Drosophila melanogaster: one gene and its partner. The protein of the gene in region 2 interacts with the protein of the main gene of each other region in a pairwise test. Each region holds a gene or a part of one and is shown on either strand. Other genes may lie near its edges.

The links.
Region 1: the proteins of mEFTu2 (region 2) and mEFTs interact in a two-hybrid assay, tested with the Drosophila melanogaster proteins (2 studies listed by BioGRID).

The regions. Positions count from the first base shown.
Region 1 is NT_033779.5:17,498,449-17,502,609, forward strand, and holds mEFTs (mitochondrial translation elongation factor Ts), read right to left. Parts: upstream 2,659-4,161; 5' UTR 2,221-2,658; coding exon 2,044-2,220; intron 1,836-2,043; coding exon 1,587-1,835; intron 1,482-1,586; coding exon 951-1,481; 3' UTR 820-950; downstream 1-819. Other genes in the region: CG15142 (uncharacterized protein), read right to left, coding at 1-314; Dhc36C (dynein heavy chain at 36C), read left to right, coding at 3,019-3,551, 3,614-3,838. UniProt on the Drosophila melanogaster protein: Associates with the EF-Tu.GDP complex and induces the exchange of GDP to GTP. It remains bound to the aminoacyl-tRNA.EF-Tu.GTP complex up to the GTP hydrolysis stage on the ribosome.
Region 2 is NT_033778.4:7,507,846-7,512,093, forward strand, and holds mEFTu2 (mitochondrial translation elongation factor Tu 2), read right to left. Parts: upstream 2,513-4,248; 5' UTR 2,267-2,512; coding exon 1,862-2,266; intron 1,796-1,861; coding exon 1,030-1,795; intron 976-1,029; coding exon 776-975; 3' UTR 682-775; downstream 1-681. Other genes in the region: didum (dilute class unconventional myosin), read left to right, coding at 1-13; az2, read right to left, coding at 2,947-3,939, 3,996-4,248.

The DNA of each region.
Region 1 (4,161 bases), on a different chromosome or scaffold from region 2:
AACTGGGCCTGCATGTACTTGGTGTACTCCAGTTTGGCCATCACCTCCTTGTACTCGTTGGCGTAGGCAAGTGCGGCGCTGTTTGTCTGCTGCCTGTTGCGCAGCATCATCGCTGCATTCGCAGTGGAGCTACTGCCAGCAGAAGCGGCTCCACTCACCCTCGTTATCTCCACTTGTGGCACATGCGTCTTGATTGCTAGCTCCTGGTTGGTGTCCATTGCTGGCTCCTCGTCCGCCTTGGGGCGCGATGGCACGGCCGTGACGGTTATGTCGCTGTACCTGGAGCGGAAGGATTCAATGTCCAGGTAGTCCATTTTGGCGATTGAATCTCTAACGACGATCGATGGTTGATAATGAAAGGGATTTATTTGACAGGCCTACTTAGTAGCTAATATTTCAGTGCTGCAAATTTCTTAGGGCTGGAAAACCATTTCTTCTATTTTGATTTTCCTCCCTGGCCAAATCTACTCGTACTCCCATTTCCTTAACATGAGCCCCAAGCAAGTGGCATACCCAACCCTCACTTGGTTTTTGCCTTTGCCCCCAAAGCTAAAAACCTTTCTTTTTGCTCTTTCTTTTGGGCTATCGCATGACCAAGTGGGTAATTACGGGAAGCAGAACAAAAAAACACGTTTGTAAACAGTTCATTCTGCTGGCGTTGTCCATTCGCCCGTTCTTCCCGCGGGTTCCACTGCTTCAGCGACCGGAAGCCGCTCAAGCGTGCTTCCCGTTCTGCGCAGGCGCATTCTCCTTGGTCACCCCAATTTTTTGCCATGACTCATGGGGTATGGCGTATTCAAATAAGAGAGGTGGAGATCTGATCGTAATGGTTGTTTTACTTGTTTTACATGCAAATTTTGACCAGAACATTGTCCAGAATTTCGGTTTTAACAATCTTCAGCTGTTGTGCTAATAACAATTTAGTGTTCTAGACTCTGCTTAATGGCTAGTTAATTGCTGCTCTGGTGCTGCGAGCGAATGATCGCCTCCAGGCTGCGTTCCGTGTGCTCTCCGCACTCGAAGCGATGGTAGTCGACGATCTCGCAGTTGTGCTCCTGCAAAGCCTCGCCCACCGTCTTGTCCGCATCGAGCAGATACTCCTGGTGAATCAGGCACGTCTCATCGTCCTTGTTCTCCGCCGGCTTGTCCTTGTCATATTCGCCGATCTTTGTCGGCTTCATGCCCACGATTTGCTGGCAAATGCTCTTGTGAAACTCAAAGTCCAGCAGGGGGTGCGTGGATCGGTAGGCTACGATCGCTCCGTACTTGCCCACCTGGGTGATGCCTTCCGTGGTGCCCACATTGGTGGGTGCGGGATGGGCGTAGCCCACCAGCTTCAGGTCGTTGTTAGCCTTAAAGCACAATGCGCGCCGGATGGTGGCATTCTCCCCGATGGCGCCGATCAGCAGAGCCAGGTGGTCGCCCAACGTGCGTCCCTCCTCCGTGCGCAAGTTTCTGAGGGCGTCCGCATCAAAGCCAAGCTGAAAGGATATGCACATTCTTTAATTAGCAATTTCTTTAGGAATGGATGCAAAACCGGTTCTGATCCAAATATTGTGTACATTTCCCATAAAAATCTCGCTCACCTTCCACAGATCTCCATCGAAGTCCGTCAAGTCCGTGTATTGCAGACACATGCAGGCGACGTGGTCAACGAACCGCTTGAAGGTATCGTTCCTGGCTACGAAATCCGTCTCGCAATTCAGCTCGACCATGGCGCCCCGGTTTCCGCGGATGAGCACTCCAATCAGACCATGTGCAGTGGCTCGATCTGCGACCTTGGTGGCCTTCGACCAGCCGAGGGTCTGGGCCTGCTCGTGCAGCCACTTTTCAGCCTGCAAGAGCGAGATGATGGCAAGGTGAGTTGATTAGCACAGATGTGTTTTGATCACAAAGGAGTTTGCATGCGGTGCAGCTATATATATTACATAATAATATAGAAAAATCAGCAATTTTTCAAAATGTAGAGATCCCCATTTCGTGCTCTTTGTAATGGAAAGCTCACTGCACCGCTTGCAATAAAACTATTAGCCAACTACCCACCAATCCGACGTCGTTGTTGTGCTTCTCCAGCGCCTTCTTGCAATTGGCGAAGGTGTATCCGGTTTTCTTCCTCAGCGCCGCCAGGGCACTCTTCTCCAGGCCACCGGATCCGCCAGAGCCGGCATAAAGCTGCCGCGTGGAGTGAAGTGCGCGTGTGAAAAACCTTTGTAGCAGCATTTTTCCAAAAAATTTCCGAAATTTACTGGGAGGCCAAAATGATTTCTAGCGTGATTTGTGTGCGAATTGAATTGTTGCTCTTTGCCTGCTGTCAAGGGCAACTCGCCGGCTTGTTTGTTTTTCCGTTTTCCGACCTGTCGCTATGTAGTAGTTGCCCGGAAAATCAATTCATTCTAAACAACGGAAAAGCCTGTGTGAGATTTGCATTTGTTTTCAACTCCTTCGTATGTTCGCTTCGGTTCAAGAAAAATTAATCGCGTTGCGGCGCGAATAAATCCAAAGCGAGTGTGGTGCCTCGATAGGTGAACGACTGGTAAGCGTCGATAGTTTAGTTTTCGGCTTTTCTGTGTGCTTAATTCGAGCAATTAATTTTGAAACTGAAAATTTTGACAATTTTCCGTGTTGCACAATTCGGCTGTTAGGGATGGCAAAAAAGCCGGTAGGGCGCGTGTGCGGAGAACAGCTGTTGCGAAGCGACTATCGATAGTGGCGACGCTATCGTTGGCCAAATGACGTTTAGTGGATGTTACAACCTATTACCGGTTACAACCGATTCGAAATGGATTGAAACCAAATATTTAAAACTTAAACCTAATAAATAGTTTTTTTTTTAATTCTGGCGCACGTAGTTATTTTCTTAATTAATATTTTAGTGTTTTTTTTTACTTTAAATAGTACTTTGATTAATAACTCGGCGGGATACAATCGTTTTATGTTTCAAAAACAATTATTGAAAACAATTTTCATTTTCTGTAGTCACATTTTGATTCGAACGTTGAACCGATTTCAGGCTTCAACATGCAGGGCAGACAGAATCCGAATCGGGAGTTCAGCATCCCCAGCTTCACGTCCATATGCGGCGGTCGCCGCCTATGCGAGAAGTCGAAGATGCTGTACACGCGACCCAAGCCGGATGTGCTGCAGAGCATCCTGCAGTCAAAGGCCAATCCGGAGTACAAGTCGCGTCGCCTGTGGTACGAACTGAACATGCCGGAATGCGCCAGCTCCCTGCTGGACGGCAAGATGAAATCCGACCTGCCGGACAACATACTCTGCGCGAAGAAACAGCAGAAGAAACGCCAGAAGAAGCGTGAGAGCGGCGTGGCCAAGGCCAACTACATGACCATGCGACTGGAGCGGGAGCACTTCCGCCGCAAGCTGGTGGAGCTCATCCTGCACATGGACGACGACCAGGATCCCGAGCTGGCCGCCCAGTGCGCCGTACCCTTTCCCGACCAGGAGGAGCGCGAGATTCTGCGATATTACTATTACATCAAGCATGGCATTGACACCATTCACGTGTCGCCGTTGAGCAAGAAGATCCTCAAGAGGTGCGTTCCACTGAACACTTTCAAATGTATCTGCTTTTTTGCTAACTGCTTTCCGTCTGCAGGATAACCGATCTTGTGCCACCACTGCTCTACAAGTGGCAGACGGCACTCAATGAAAACATAGCCGAAGTCCGGGCGGACTACGTGTTCGCCATGAAGAAGGCCGTTGTGGACTTCGTCCTGCGGCACACGGTCCTCGATCGCCTAACCAAGGAGGGCGTGGGTGGCAAATACGACACCGCCGAGCGGCGGGAGGTGCAATCCATGACGAACTTTTGGCGCTATCGGTGAGTCTCCATGATGCTAATGTCAAATTCGATAAAAGTCTTCGATTTCTATTCGATAAATGGCAAATGAAACTTTTGATCCGTTAAAAGTGTATAATCCAGGCAGAATATAGAAACATTTTTCACGTTTTTCGTTAGCTTTTTCTATGCAAAAAAAAAAAAGAAAAAAATACAGCAATGCAGATGAAATTGCAACTTCTCTTAAGCCAAATGGATTTTGAGAGGCAAAATCAGAGTAGCGTAATTGATATTGAAATGCATGCGTTGTTTGGTTCGACAAAGTTGAAAAACCAATGCAAGCGAAGGGCGGGAATTTAAAGTTA
Region 2 (4,248 bases):
TACAAAGATTTAAACGTCGCGTGCCTGCGTCTTGCCGGTCGAGAACTTTGCCATTTTGGATGACATTACACTGCTTAGTTTTTGTGTATTATACGAGTATAACGATTCTAGAAATTTAATTTGTTCTTATATTTAGAAAATCGATTAGATAATGAAACATTGAGTAGAGCCGTTTTGCCGAAATGTTTGTGTAGTTCCTGTTTAGCTTAAATACCCGTTGTTTATCCACTCCAATAGTATCCATTCCGAGTATCCAATGGCGTACCCGTCCCGAGATGCCAAGTGTTTTTTTTTGTTGTACGAACTATTTGTAGCAAAAGTAATGGAAGGTTAAGAACCAACCTTAATATGTGAAACGCAATAAATGCTTGGAGTTAGACTCTGACCATAAGAAATCATTTCTTGCCTAAACCTTGTACCTTAAATCATAACTAAATATTTATATACAATGATTGTACTTAACCAGGCTGATTTGTTGCCTTAAAGAACGTGTAAAGCCTACAGATGATAGAGTAAGACTCATAGAGCTCACCGATGATGCATTGCTGTTGCATTCCATCTATTTATGTATTCTCATTTTCTGCGTAGCTTGTAACTCGTTAGTTGGGTTTCTTAGATATGTCGTTAGACTATGCAAGCCTAAACTACGTTGGCATTTGTTTGAAACATTCTAAGCAGATTACCTAAACACATACAAATATTATATATTAGAAAGAAAGTACTCGTGTGTAATGAACAGCAATTTATGAATTTTTACAAATACAATCTCGAGTCGTTAACAATCCACGAAGACTTTTGATAACTTGTTCTTGGGCAGGTCAAGGGACGGCAGGCGCTGCGTCACCATACCGGTAGCCACCGTCGCTCCGTTCTCGCGAATTGTGAAGGCTTGGCCCGGAGTCATGACCATTTTCCGCAGCAGCGTGACGCGCACCTGGCCATGCTCACCCGGCATAAGCATAGCCTCACTTGGAACTGCAATGGGATTTGCTCAATGCTTTGTGGACAGCATTGAAGTTTTTAACTTACCTATGTCAATTCTAGCTGGAACATTCCACGTCTGGCTGAAGAGCTGCTGTATATACTTGGAGAGCATGGGCTTGACACGACCACCCTCGGCCCGCGATAGCAGATACATGGAGCCTTCAAAGTGGTTGGATATATCCTCGGAGCCGGTTGCGCACAGTAGCATTCCCCGCTCCACGGCGGATATCTTAATACCTCGCAGCAGTGCGCCGACGTTCTCGCCAGCCTGTGCCTGAGGCACGCTCTTCCGGAATATCTGGATGTCGCTGATGCTTGTCTTCAGGTTCTGATTGAAGCCCAGTAGGTCTGCATCCGCGTTCCGGGGAATGGTGCCCCTTTTGATGGTTCCCACGACCACGGTTCCCCTTCCGGGTACCGTAAAAGCATTGTCTATTGGCAGGATAAATGGGGACGAGATATCGCGCTGCGGCGTTGGTATGTAAGAGTCGCATTGCTCAAGTAGCTTTTCAATTGACGGAACCCCGAACTCCGATTTATCTTCGCGAAGGGCCAGCAGCGCTGAGCCACAAATTACCGGGCTATTCACGCCATCAAAGCCGAAATCACTTAGCATCTCACGCATCTCGATCTCGACCAGTTCCAGCACCTCCTGGTCCACCAAATCGGCCTTGTTTATAAACACTATGATGCGCTGGATGCCCACTTGTTTTGCCAGAAGAAGGTGCTCGCGAGTCTGGGGCATTTGACCATCGGTGGCAGCCACCACTAGAATGGCGCCATCCATTTGGGAGGCGCCCGAGATCATGTTCTGTAGATCAGATAGAAAGTTTCGTTAAATTGGTGGAACATTGGTTGGTTCTTTTGGCTGAGCTACCTTTATGTAGTCCGCATGACCCGGGCAATCCGTGTGAGCGTAGGTGCGTTCTGTAGTGGAATACCCAATATGGCAAGCATTTATAGTTATGCCACGCGCCTTCTCCTCGGGCGCCCGATCAATCTGGTCGTAGGACAGGTACTCCGCCAGACCCTTCTGTGACTGGATTCTGGTAATGGCGGCGGTCAGGGTCGTTTTACCATGGTCAACGTGACCAATGGTGCCCACATTGCAGTGGGGCAGCTCCCGCAGCCCCGGGGCCGGATTTTTATCCGCACTGGTGGCCAGGAGACGGGTCCCTGTCCACCGGCTCTGACTGGCGCCGGGTCCAATCAGTGCCTGGCTGATACGGCGCACTAGCCCCGCTTCACATTGGCGCCACAACTTCGGAAGGAGTCCGCTCATTTCTCCTCTCCAGGTCTGTAATCTTGGTGCAGAGCACGTAACACCGAGCACGTCGCGGAAAACCAAAACACGAACAGCTGTTGGCCAGTGCTGCACAGCGCAAGAATAGGTGAGCTGATAACTTCGAAAATTTTGATTACCCGAAGTTAATGAAATAAATATAAAAAAATGCTATAAATTCTAACATTTGACATAGTAGGACAAATTTCTCTAACGGCAGACAAAGGAACCTCTGCTGGCTAGCAGGCAAAATGTACTCCTGATATGCTCAATTGCTACGCCAATAGAACCCAAAATTAGATATAAAAATAAGTATTATTACACCTTCAATTTCAAAATTCAGTGCTTTTTTGTGTTTTCAAGTTACTATATCACAAAGGCATACAAATGCATAGTGCTCAGTGTAGTCTTTATTAAGAAAATTCAGATGGATTATCTAAAAATCGAACAATTCAAATATGTCGAATAATAGAATAGAATAATAGAAATCATTTTAAACATTTTTGTTTTCATTTTTGCAAGCTTGGACAAATATATTGTAAAATCTCTTGTTTCAATACTAAAAAATATTTAGGAGTAATAATACATTAAGAACATTAAAAAATTCATGTTTTTTGGCACTATAGCCATATTTTCTGGTTATTAACAAATGTAAATACTTGTCATGGTTTGGAAATGTCTCAAGGCTGAGGGAATGTCTTTGTAAAGAGTGCGTCGCTTGACGACAGAGAGCTCTTGAGGATCTTGTGGGTGCGTCGCATGTGGACGCCAAGACTAACTCGCTCCGAGAAGCGCGTCGTGCAGAGCGAACATTGCAGGGTCTTCTCCTTGTGGATGTGGCGATGCTTGACTAAGGCGTTGGCATTGGTGAAGGCCTTCTGACAGACCTCGCAGACCTTGTCGCGGATGTTCAGGTGCGCCTTTACGTGGTCCTTGAGGTCGCGCTTGGTCAGGAAGTCCTTGGGGCACATGTCGCACTTGAAGGCTCGGATCTTGGTGTGAACCGCAGTTACGTGCGTTGTCATTTGGATTTTTTGCTTAAAACACTTGCCGCAGAACTCGCAGACAAATGGCTTGGCGACGTGCTTCTCGTCATGGGTGCGTTTGTGGATAGCCAGTTGATTTCCAAAGGCAAAGCTCCTGCTGCAGATCTCGCAGACAAAGCTCTTGTCCATGTGCACACGCTGGCTGTGCTGCTGCAGGTGACACTTTCGGTCGAAGTTCAGCTCGCAAAGCGTGCAGCGAAACCAGCCTCCATCGCCCATCTTATGATCCCGGAACTGATGTGCTTGCAGGGCGTGATCTGTGCTAAAGGAGTGCTCGCAGACTTCACATTTAAGCTTCTGTCGGAATGATTTAGTGGGCATAAAGCTATTGCAGCGCTCGATGTACTGCTTCTCGGCCAGCGAGAGACCCACACATTGGACGTCTGTGAGGGTTTTGATCCGTCGCGAATACCATTGGCGCATGCTCTGAATACTGTCGTAGACATCGTAGTGGGTGACCAGGCCCAACGAAAACTCCGAAGTCAGCAGGTCAGTGATCTCTATGAGCGATGACTTTCGTACGTTTAGATTGCAGAAGTGCTTGTGCGCGGGATCGTACAGTTGGGGAAACTTGGAGTACAAATCAATGAACTGTGTGGTCAGTTGATTCTCCTCTGTGAACACCAGCTGTCGTGGGGAACGCATTAGAGTGGCTTAGAAAGCTGTTTGTCACTCGGACTCACCTTTATTTTGCCATCGCCGTCGACATCATCGCTGTCCGCATCCTCCAGACTACCGCGCTCTGCCAGAAAGCTGTACTTTCCATGGTAGTACAGTGGAACCTTGGTTAGTTTCTGAGTTTTCTTCTGCCGCGAGATCGACGCATACTGCGCGTGTAGGCTGGTGATGCACTTCTTCAGCTTATAGGCCGTTAGGTGAAGATTGACGGTCGCCTTTAATTGCTCCAGCAACTCCTCATAGGCATTTGCGCGTTTC